Linked DNA regions of Macaca mulatta. Each later gene encodes a partner of the first gene's protein in a complex. Links are inferred from orthologs where the notes say so. Each region holds a gene or a part of one and is shown in the gene's direction. Other genes may lie near its edges. The genes, in order: BACH1, FBXL17 and FBXO22.

Region 1 (3,649 bases):
AGTTGGATACAGTTGGATAAACTGTAAACTAAGTCTACAGTTTAGCTTGTTGCTGTCCATGCCTACTTCTATGAAACTGCAGCTACAGTTTTGGGAACAGATAGGTTGTCAGTTTTGTGGCAGAGGTCAGAGTCAATGGTGCAATACCAAGAAAATGGTAAAAAAGGCCAACCTGTGAACTGGCCATTGTTTTAAAAAAAGACCAACATATTTTATAATGGAGATATATTAATTATGGTTCATATTTTCAAATTATTGAATGAGACTTTCCAAGTAAAGCAAAGTTTGATTCATGGATTTAGGAGGAAAGGTATGTGCATACATGCATGTATGTGTGCATTCATTCTTTCTAATGTGTAAATCATAAGTTTTCAAATATTGGAAGTGTTTCATTATAGTGACAGTGTCAAAATACCTTATAACTCATTGTCCTAAAGACCTTTTTAGATTATTTTAACTAATTTAAAAATTTTAATTGAAATTTTTATTGAGTGTATTAGAGTTCTCCAGAGGGACAGAACTAATAGGATGTGTATATATATATATATATGAAGGGGCGTTTATTAAGGAAAATTGGCTCACACGTTCACAAGGTGAAGTCATACGATAGGCCACCTGCAAGCTGAGGAGGAAGAAAGCCAGTAGTGGCCCAGTCTGAGTCCAAAAGCCTCAAAAATAGGGAAGCCAACACTGTAGCCTTCAGTCTGAGGCCAAAGGCCCAAGAGCCCTCGTCAAACCACTGATGTAAGTCTAAGAGTCCAAAGGCCAAAGAACCTGGCATCTGATGTCAAGGGCAGGAAGCATCCAGCAGGGGAGAAAGGCGAAAGTCAGAAGAGTCAGCAAGTCACCTATCCCACCTTCTTCCTTCTGTTTTGTTCCAGCCTTGCTGGTAGCCGATTGGATGGTGCCCACCCATATTGAGGGTGGGTTATCTTTCCCAGTCCACTGACTCAAATGTTAATTTTCCCTAGCAACGCCCTCACTGACACACCCAGAAACAAGACTTTACAGCCTTCAATCCAGTCAAGTTGACATTTAATATTATCACCTTGATGTTTTCATGTACAGATATAAGAAACAGTGCAGAGTTCCTTTTCACTTTGTCCAGTGTCCCCCATTGATAACATTTTGCAAAGTTGTAGTGTAGTATTACAACCAGGATATTGATACAGTCCCCCATAGGGTTCAGATTGCCACAATTTTGCTTGTACTAATAATGTCTGTGTGTGTGTGTGCGCACACTCGCGCATTAAGTTCTATATAATTTTATCCCCTGTGAAGGTTTGTGTATCCACCACCATAGTTAAGATGCTCAGTTGGGTGCAGTGGCTCATGCCTGTAATCCCAGCACTTTGGGAGTCCGAGGCAGGCAGATCACCTGAGGTCAGGAGTTTACCAGCCTGGCCAACATGGCGAAACGTCTCTACTAAAAATACAAAAATTAGTCAGGCGTGGTGGCGGGCAACTGTAATCCCAGCTACTCGTGAGCCGAGATTGCACCACTGTACTCTAGCCTGGGTGACAGAGCGAGATTCCACCTCAAAAAAAAAAAAAGATACTGAACTTGCCAACACACAAAGATCCCTTTTGTTGTCCTTTTATAACCACAGACATCTCCTGCCTACACTCCATGCTCTCATTCCCTTGCCCCCTTTCTCCATCCCTAATCCATAGCCACCACTTACCTTTCTTCCTTTTCTAAAGTTTTGTCATTCTAAAAATGTTATATAAATGAAATTATGCAGTATATTACCTCTTAGGATTGATGTTGTTTGACTTAGGTGAGATTATCCAGGTTGTGTGTATCAGAAATTTTTTCCTTTTTATTGCTGAGTAGTATTCCGTAGTATGGATGTACCGTGTGTGTGTGTGTGTGTGTGTGTGTGTGTGTAGCTTTTCACCTATTGAAGGAAATCAGGCTAATTCCGGTTTTTGGCTATCACAAATAAGATTGCTGTAAACATTTGTGTACTGGTGTTTGTGTGAACATAAGTTTTTATTTCTTTGGGATAAAAGACCAGGAGTGCAGTTGCTGAGTCATATGGTAGTTGCATGTTTACTTTTATAAGAAAGTGTATTTCAAATTGTCTGTACCATTTTACATTCCCACTAGCAATATGTGAGTGATTTAGTTTCTCTGCATTCTCATTAGCATTTGATGGTATCATTGCTTTTTATTTGAGCCTTTAAAAAGCCTAAACATGGTTTAGCATGTTTAGATTTTTAAGATCACAAATATTATCTTGACCACTCTTATAAGAACTCAGTGGTTTCAAATTAATTTTGTACTTTTAACCCAGGATAGGACTTTCTGTGTACTTCAGCTGGTTCCATTTGCCTCTCATTTTAAGAGGCAGGTGTAATGTAAATGTGCAGGTTTCTACTTAAAAGTTTTGTTACTTTGAGTTCATGAATTTTTGCTGAAACAGTACTGAGGCATGATTTCTATAACTTCTCCTAGATCACTTTAAAAAATCTGTATCTTTAAAACTTTTACTGTTAGGACAGTAAAGTTAATAGTTACCAGTTAGTATGCATTTACCATGGATCAGGACTTTGTAACTTCTTTACAGGTACTGTTTTATATCCTTAAAAGTTCTGGTTTTGCAGCTGGTAGCAGTTGGGGTTGTTTGGAATACAGTGGCCATGTGGAGCTGGGCTAGCAGTAGGCTCACTATGTATGTGTGGCAGGTCGTGTTCATCCTGCTCTAATTCATAGATGATTTTTTTTTCCACTGTCATGGGAAACTTGTAATGTCTTAATGTCTTTAACTTATGTGAGTAAACCATAATTCATGTGCAATTAAGAGTGGACTCTATAAAATAGTGTGTGGTCGCTGTGAAAAGCATGCTTTTCCAGGATCCTTTCCTTTTCCATTTCTTAGAAGAATATTTTTTCTTTAAATTAAAGTACATATTTTATCATTGTCACAAATAAGTTACACATCTATTTCTCTTCCACTTATCTCATTTTTATGTACTAGACAGCTTTCAAATGATGTGTTTTTTATTTTGTGTATCAACAGGTGACAGTTAAAGGATTTGAACCTTTAATTCAGTTTGCCTACACTGCTAAACTGATTTTAAGTAAAGAGAATGTGGATGAAGTGTGCAAATGTGTGGAGTTTTTAAGTGTACACAATATTGAGGAATCCTGCTTTCAGTTTCTGAAATTTAAGTTTTTGGACTCCACTGCAGACCAGCAAGAATGCCCAAGAAAAAAATGCTTTTCATCACACTGTCAGAAAACAGATCTTAAACTTTCACTTTTGGACCAGAGGGATCTAGAAACAGATGAAGTGGAGGAATTTGTGGAAAATAAAAATGTTCAGACTCCTCAATGTAAACTCCGCAGGTATCAAGGAAATGCAAAAGCCTCGCCTCCTCTACAAGACAGTGCCAGTCAGACATACGAATCCATGTGCTTAGAGAAGGATGCTGCTCTGGCCTTGCCTTCTTTATGCCCCAAATACAGAAAATTCCAAAAAGCATTTGGAACTGACAGAGTCCGTACTGGGGAATCTAGTGTCAAAGACATTCATGCTTCTGTTCAGCCAAATGAAACGTCGGAAAATGAATGCCTGGGAGGAGTCCCGGAGTGTAGAGATTTGCAGGTGATGTTAAAATGTGACGAAAGTAAATTAGCAAT
Region 2 (3,749 bases), on another chromosome or scaffold:
GCTCTGGGGCCCTGGAAGATTCCCCTACAGGCAGATGGATGAAAGTTATGTGGATTATATGTGTAGGTAAATGTAGTTCAGGCAATGCATTTGATAGTGAATAGCGTGTATGTCTGTGAAACCTTTTGACAAATATTTGCTTCTAGAATTCCACATCACTGTCATTAGGCTCTGAAAGAAGGATCCCTGAATGTGACAGACTTAAGATTAGTCATTTCTGACAAAGAGGCCACAATAAACAAATGTTGGATAGCATGTTTGAGTGCAGACTGGGTGGCGCTGGCCACTATAGTGGTAATAGCAATGTAGGTTCCAACAGAGGTCTCTAAGTCACTGGGCCTTGAATATTGCAATACTGCTCCCTCAGTCAGCTCTCTCAAGTTATCCTTAGCAGATTTTTTTTTTAAACAGCTGCCACTTCACTTCCACCCTTCAGCAGGTAACCAAGCTCTATCTGAAGGAAAATAGAAACCATCAGAAAGGAACTCTCACCTTCCGGCTAGAAACATCCACCTATCTATATTCATCCTTTATCTACCTTTCGTCATTCTCTGTAATCACAATGAAGAAAGTGTCCTTCCTAAAGCACTCTCCATTCCACCTTCTCCTATTTCTCTCATTGGAGTCGCTCATTCCCATCGGTATTTGCTTCCTCCAATTCTTCGCTTGTGAAAGCTAACTTCTCCAGACCAGGTGCCGCTCTAGTAGCTGCCCTAGCTCTCTAGCCTCGATATAGTCAAACCTTCTAACGGACTGCCTGCACAGCTATTTCCTCTTTCTCATCCGACTCACCAAGGTTTGTCATACAGCCGGCACTGCACCGTCATGTTTAAAATATATAACAGATGGCTAGACAGCATTCCGAGGGTGCAGACAATAAAGTGATCTACAGCTTGTAGCCTGGGTGTTGGATGGCTCATTGGGTGGGGAAGCTGTTATCTTTCCACCGTGCACAGGTAATTTGATATATGCTTTCACTCTGAAATAAAGTTGTGGAAAGGCAGTAGTACGCAACAATTAATAAAACACAAGTGAGTAAACAGTGATGCCGCACAACCAATCAACCCCTCACATGACTTGGGTGCGTATCACCCACCGGCCGCATCTGCCACTCCGCCCAAGGCGCGGTCAGCACCCACGCCGGCCCTTCCGGCGGAACCCGCCTCGCGGCTTCGAAGTGGCCTGGGTTTCCGAGTCAGGGGTGGTGATATGGGTGGAAGATGAGGGGAAGAGCCGAGCGGCTACCGGCCAATGGCAGCTCTTGAACTTACACCTCGAGACGTCAGCGCGGCTGTGTAAACGGATGTCACACAGCTGGCTCGGAAGTGTCTCCTCCCGCCTTAGAAAAGCGGCGCACGCCCAGCAGCTTCGGAAAAACCTTAGGCGGCTGGAGGGAGGGGCGCGCGCCGCACCCCGCGAGCCCAGAGCTCCATACCCTAGCCGGCCGGCTTCTTCCCGTAGTGCCGTGTGGCTGCCGTTCCGGGTGAGCAGCGGGCGCTAGCGTCCCCGCCACGAGCGCGCCACCGCAACTGGCTCCGCCCCCTGCCGGAACGGGCCGCGCGTTCCTGCGGCTCCGAGCAGAGTCGCGGGCGCGCGCGCCGGCGGCAGATCCGCAGTTAAAATGGTCCGAGCGGGACCCGGCCTTGCCCCCGCTGCCGCGCTGACTGACTGAGCCGGCTGGCCGGGCCCGGACTGGTCACCTAGCCGGCAGGCTCGCTCGCTCGCTCACTCCCTCGCGTCCCCAAAGCTCGCGCCCATCGTTCTCCCGGCTTCCCTGGGCAGAGCATGTAGCCCCCGTCGGGCACTCCGGCGGCCCGCAGCTGACGCCCACCCCCCACCGTCGCGTGTGTGCCCGTGTGTGCGTGTGTGTGCGCAGGGAGGGCGACCCCGCCGCGGGCCGGGGGCCGAGCCAGCGAGCGGCCTGCCCCGCTGCCAGGAGCCCGCCTCTCTGGGTCTCCCTCCCTCCCGTCCCGGTCCCCCTCCTCGGGGTCTTCTATATGGGCCACCTTCTCTCGAAGGAGCCGCGTAACCGCCCGAGCCAGAAGAGGCCTCGCTGTTGCAGTTGGTGCCGCCGCCGGCGCCCTCTCCTCAGGCTGCCCCGCCGGACCCCAGCCAAGGTGCCCCCTCAACCGGCGGCACCCCGGAGCCGGGACTGCTTCTTCCGCGGGCCCTGCATGCTCTGCTTCATCGTGCACAGTCCCGGCGCGCCCGCCCCCGCCGGCCCAGAGGAGGAGCCGCCGCTCTCGCCGCCGCCGCCGCCGCGGGACGGGGCCTACGCTGCCGCCTCCTCCTCCCAGCACCTGGCGCGGCGCTACGCGGCCCTGGCCGCCGAGGACTGCGCCGCTGCCGCCCGCCGCTTCCTGCTATCCTCGGCCGCCGCCGCCGCAGCCGCTGCCGCCTCGGCTTCGTCGCCCGCCTCCTGCTGCAAAGAGTTGGGGCTGGCTGCGGCCGCCGCCTGGGAGCAGCAGGGCCGAAGTCTCTTCCTGGCCAGCTTGGGGCCGGTGCGCTTCCTGGGGCCGCCCGCCGCCGTGCAGCTCTTCCGGGGACCGACACCGCCGCCGGCCGAGCCCCCTACGCCCCCCGAAATGGTGTGCAAGCGGAAGGGGGCCGGGGTCCCAGCCTGCACCCCCTGCAAGCAGCCCCGCTGCGGCGGCGGGGGCTGCGGCAGCGGCGGCGGTGGTGGTGGGGGAGGGCCTGCGGGGGGAGGCGCTTCGCCGCCCCGACCCCCCGACGCCGGCTGCTGCCAGGGCCCGGAGCAGCACCCGCAGCCGCTCTGCCCCCCGCCCTCTTCTCCCACCTCCGAAGGTGCCCCTACCGAAGCTGGCGGGGACGCTGTCCGAGCCGGGGGCACCGCCCCCTCGTCCGCCCAGCAGCAGCATGAATGTGGCGACGCGGACTGTCGGGAGCCCCCCGAAAACCCCTGCGACTGTCACAGGGAGCCGTCCCCCGAAACCCCAGACATCAACCAGCTGCCGCCGTCCATCCTGCTCAAGGTGGGTCTGGGCGAGAGGCGCAGGGATGCTCGCTTTCCCCCACCCTCGGCCCCCGCCTCTGAGGCTTTCTCTCTCCTCCCCCTAAACGCGGAGGAGGGGGGTTCCCTGACAGTCTAGGGACGTCCGAAGGGGAGACTGGGAAGCCAGTGGGGCCTCTGCGTATGACCTATTTTTTGAAGTAGGAGCACTTGGAGTCTACTGAATGTCTTTTAATAGCTTGACTCTGTAACCCACCATTCAGGGTTCAGCTATTATTAGAATCCCAACCCAGTCGTTTAGAAACTTCGCAGGTATTCTGTGGAAAAGAAAAAAAAAATTAATCGGGAAGTTTATACTTAGTGGGTAAAGGCTTTGCGTATTAGTATTTGAAGGTCTTCAAACATTACTTTTATGTTTGATGATTGGTAGTTAATGTCAAACAGTTATTATTGAGCATTTACCATAATCAGGCGCTGCACCAGAACTTTATATATATAATATCCCATTTATTCCTTCAGTTAAAGCTGCGAGATAAATACTGTTAATATCTTTATTTTATACCAGAAGAAACTGACTTCTCCGTGCTGTGGGCCACTGTTTACAGTAGTGAGTCAGGCAGAAGTGGCCTTTGCTCCTGTGGAGCTGACAGTCTAGTGGGGCTTGAAGTGGTCGAATGACTTGTGCAAGGTCACATACAGAAAGTAAAGGGCAGATCTAGGTCTTGAATGAGGGAATTTAAGACCACCTGACTTTAAAACCCCTTTGTTTATGCTATGT
Region 3 (3,649 bases), on another chromosome or scaffold:
CATCTCTACCAAAAAAAAATTAAATTTAAAATAGATCCTTTTTCCAAATAAGCTCACATGCATAGGTTCTGGAGATTGGATGTGGATATACCTTTTGCGTGGGCAGGGGGCACTGTTCACCACACTATAGGTGGTTAGCGCCTTTTCTCTCCTTTAAAAAATAAAACGTCTGTAAATTTTCACTGCTGCTAGCGCAGCTCTGTGTAAACCAGTGTTCTCTTTTGTTCCCTACCGGGAGCCAGCTTGCACCTTGGTCCACCAAGGATTGCTGCTCAGTACATAGCTGCTTCATTATTTGTGTTCATTGTATTATTTATTAATACAAATAGTCATTTGGTTTTTTAATAGAAAAAAATTATAAAGAGTTTGCATAATGTTTGTAAGAAATGAAAAACGTGATACAGAGATAGAAGAGGATATAAAATAAGATTAAAAAAAAGGAAAATTTCATAGCTTAAGCCACTAAATTGCCCTTAAGGAGGAATGCAAGTTATTAACAGTAACATTTCATTTTGCAACATGTATAAAATAATTTGTTTTAAGGCTGTCTTTAACTCTTGCTCTTCATTTCTCTGCAGGTCTTTTAGATAACCCTGAACTTCGTGTGGTCCTTGTCTTTGGTTATAATTGCTGTAAGGTGGGAGCCAGTAATTATCTGCAGCAAGTAGTCAGCACTTTCAGTGATATGAATATCATCTTGGCTGGAGGCCAGGTGGACAACCTGTCATCACTGACTTCTGAAAAGTATGTCTTGTGTGTGTCTGATTTCCTCTGTGAATGAGGGGAAATGGTCCCAGGTTTTGTCACTTTGGGGTTAACAATTTAAAAACCACGTTTAAAGAATTGCTAAGATAATAGTTCATTCCATTTTGTAGTAGACATTGGCTAAAGGGCTTACTCAACATAATTCTGCTTACAGTTGAATAATTACATTTTTATATATATTGTCCTTTAAGAACTTCTTAGTTGGACTCACATTCTCCTTAAAATTTATTTTGACATTGCCTGTTGATCTTTCCTTTGACAAATGTGGTACTCTCTGTGACCTCAATGTGTCACCTCCTCTCTAGTTTCCTCTTTTAAAGGAAACACATGGTTCAAGTGTATCTTTATGCAAAACTTCTCAGAGCTTCTAATATGCCCAGTGCATTGGAAATCTGGAAGGGGAATAGTATTACCTGTGACAGTTCCCAAATCTGTCACAAAAAAAGTCACAAAACCTTTTTTTCCACAGAGCATCTTGCAAGTCCTACTGGTTTTTGGAAATTCTGTATTAGATCTTTTGAAAGGCTTTTTCAAGCTCAAAAATTATGGATCTTTGATTTTTGTTACTAAGGCTTTTGCTTTCAAAGATAAAAATATTTGCTCTTCTGTCTTGGAAGCCATTACTTCCTTTCCATCTTGAATGAAAGTACATATCATTTTGAGTTTGAAACCATTAGGTGGACATAAATGTCATTTGTTTCCAGCAGGCAAATGAGACCCTACCCCACCCTCAATGCTTGTAAACACTAGTATTTGTTTCCCACTCTGTTTAATATTTGCATCCTAGAGTGGTGACTTGGGGACAGACTTGGAGATCAATATCTGTAAGAATTATGTAAGTCATCCTAGTTATACTCTCTTTTCTGGTAGTCTTTGTGAGCTAGATCTGGGAAAATAGCTAAAGTTGAGGTCCCTGGACTGCCAGGAAGGAGGAAAAGAGGAAAGCCAAGTACGTTGAATCCCAGGCAGTAGAATATCAAACACTGGATTTTGTGCATACATACACCGAATTCTTGGTGACTATCTAAGTTATTTCCCCTCTTGCCTAATTTTTCCTGTATCTTTGCTGTTAACTTTTAAATTGTATACCGATAGGGCAATGGTGATTCAACATACAGTTTACCTTTGAAATGCAGGTATCTCACTCGGACTTAAAACATCTGAGGCGCTAGCTTGTTAGTACAGCAATTTGTATATCATCTACTTTTTATACCTAGTATGAGAAACACCCTCCACCCCAATCATTACTTTTCATATGACCCATTAATTTTAATGTGGTCTTCATACTCTGTCAGTGATTAAGAGAAACTGTTGAGTAAATGAGTGCTCCATTTTAATAAAGTCCAGATAACCCAACTGATCCACAACCCAAAAGGAAGGTGAATAATTCTTTGAGGCAAGATTGACAATATGTATTAACAATTCTGTACCAAAGAGGAAATGTGATAAAGTTTTAAAAGCAGCAGAGTACTTCAGAAGATAGATTTTACCCCTCACAAACTCGTTTTACTACTAGCTAGCCTTATTACCTTAGTCACTTAACCTTTTTGTGTCTTAGTTTCTCAGTAATCCAGTGAATCTTGCCCATTTTATAGATTCAGATGTTGGAAGCATGATAGAAATGTAACATACTTGTTTCTCCCCTAGTGGATGTTTACTATATTATATGCTTTATAACTTTTATCAATGTTGTATTTTCTTTTGTAAGGATATTTCATTTTTAAAAAAAACCAGGCAAATACAAAAACAAAACATGAGTTTTTACCATCAAATTAAGCTGAATTCTAGACTCAAAGCAATAAACAAGACAAAAAAATAACATATTTTCTAGTGGACTAGACATAAAGCTAAAACTTCTAGAGTTAATAGGTTTTTAAAATTATCCCCTAAGACTGGGTATAGTGGCTCATGCCTGTAATCCCAGAACTTTGGGAGGCTGAGGCAGGAGGATTGCTTGAGTTCAGGAGTTTGAGACCAGCCTGCGCAACATAGTGAGACCCTATCTCCACAAAATGTTTACAGATTAGCCAGGTGTGGTGGCATGTGTCTGTAGCCCCAGCTACTTGAGAGACTCAGGCAGGAGGATTGCTTTATCCCAGGAGTTTGAGGCTGCAGTGAGCTATGACTATGCCACTGCACTTCAGCCTCGCTAACAGAGAACCCGATCTCCAAAAAAATAAAATCACCCTCCATTATTATATTTTTAATATATGTCTTTCAGAATTTGACAGCTGAAGTGGGGGGAAAGATGTTAACAATGTAAATAATAGCAGAAGGCTTCGTTTAATGGATATCTTTGTGTATATTAATAAAATTATAACATTCCTTTTAAGGAAGTCAGAAAGGTAAGGAAACTGTCCCTTCTAATAACCAAATATGGGTTTCAGAAATTGTTATGGATGTGCATTGCCCCTTTGTATTTGTGACTGAAAAAAATGGTGGCTTCTCTTGATCTATTTTAATAGTTTGATTTTTGACCATATTTTACTCATCTGTGAGGGTGAGCCTCAGATTAACCATAGGCTGCTAAAGGCAGCAGCCTCCCATCAGTGAATCAGGAGGATTTTGCTTCTGTACTTAAAAATTTTAATGTTTCATGAGATATTGCCACTTTTCTAAATTTTCCAGGAACCCTCTGGATATTGATGCCGCAGGTGTGGTTGGACTGTCATTTAGTGGACACCGAATCCAGAGTGCCACTGTGCTCCTCAACGAGGACGTCAGTGATGAGAAGACTGCGGAGGCTGCAATGCAGCGCCTCAAAGCGGCCAACATTCCAGAGCAGAACACCATTGGCTTCATGTTTGCATGCGTTGGCAGGGGCTTTCAGTATTACAGAGCCAAGGGGAATGTTGAGGCTGATGCGTTCAGAAAGTTTTTTCCT

What was found.
Region 2: the proteins of BACH1 (region 1) and FBXL17 are in contact, whole or in part, in a cryo-EM structure (PDB 8UAH), measured with the Homo sapiens proteins. The link is inferred for Macaca mulatta from reciprocal best matches to the Homo sapiens genes BACH1 and FBXL17. Residues at the interface, in NP_001177.1 of Homo sapiens: Val20, Leu21, Ser23, Leu24, Gln27, Val32, Leu33, Asp35, Phe39, His48, Arg49, Ser50, Val51, Ala53, Ala54, Cys55, Ser56, Ser57, His60, Ser61, Arg62, Val64, Asn72, Thr74, Pro76, His116, Asn117; in NP_001156787.2 of Homo sapiens: Asp395, Arg421, Asn447, Gln473, Gln498, Glu499, Met524, Arg548, Cys574, Leu575, Tyr598, Val600, Ser601, Asp623, Trp626, Met651, Arg652, Val676, Gln678, Asp679, Cys680, Arg682, Thr683, Glu685, Gln689, Trp692.
Region 3: the proteins of BACH1 (region 1) and FBXO22 are in contact, whole or in part, in a cryo-EM structure (PDB 8S7D), measured with the Homo sapiens proteins. The link is inferred for Macaca mulatta from reciprocal best matches to the Homo sapiens genes BACH1 and FBXO22. Residues at the interface, in NP_001177.1 of Homo sapiens: Ser7, Val8, Phe9, Ala10, Tyr11, Glu12, Ser13, Ser14, Val15; in NP_671717.1 of Homo sapiens: Asp366, Gly371, Asn372, Phe373, Ile374, Leu375, Arg376, Lys377, Cys378.

Annotation. Positions count from the first base shown.
Region 1 is NC_133408.1:18,172,053-18,175,701, reverse strand, and holds part of BACH1 (transcription regulator protein BACH1), read left to right. Parts: intron 1-3,026; coding exon 3,027-3,649. UniProt on the Homo sapiens protein: Transcriptional regulator that acts as a repressor or activator, depending on the context. Binds to NF-E2 DNA binding sites. Plays important roles in coordinating transcription activation and repression by MAFK.
Region 2 is NC_133411.1:117,243,959-117,247,707, reverse strand, and holds the start of FBXL17 (F-box/LRR-repeat protein 17), read left to right. Parts: upstream 1-1,579; 5' UTR 1,580-1,997; coding exon 1,998-2,993; exon of another isoform or gene 2,994-3,001; intron 3,002-3,749. UniProt on the Homo sapiens protein: Substrate-recognition component of the SCF(FBXL17) E3 ubiquitin ligase complex, a key component of a quality control pathway required to ensure functional dimerization of BTB domain-containing proteins (dimerization quality control, DQC).
Region 3 is NC_133412.1:54,044,699-54,048,347, forward strand, and holds part of FBXO22 (F-box only protein 22), read left to right. Parts: intron 1-578; coding exon 579-744; intron 745-3,393; coding exon 3,394-3,649. UniProt on the Homo sapiens protein: Substrate-recognition component of the SCF (SKP1-CUL1-F-box protein)-type E3 ubiquitin ligase complex that is implicated in the control of various cellular processes such as cell cycle control, transcriptional regulation, DNA damage repair, and apoptosis.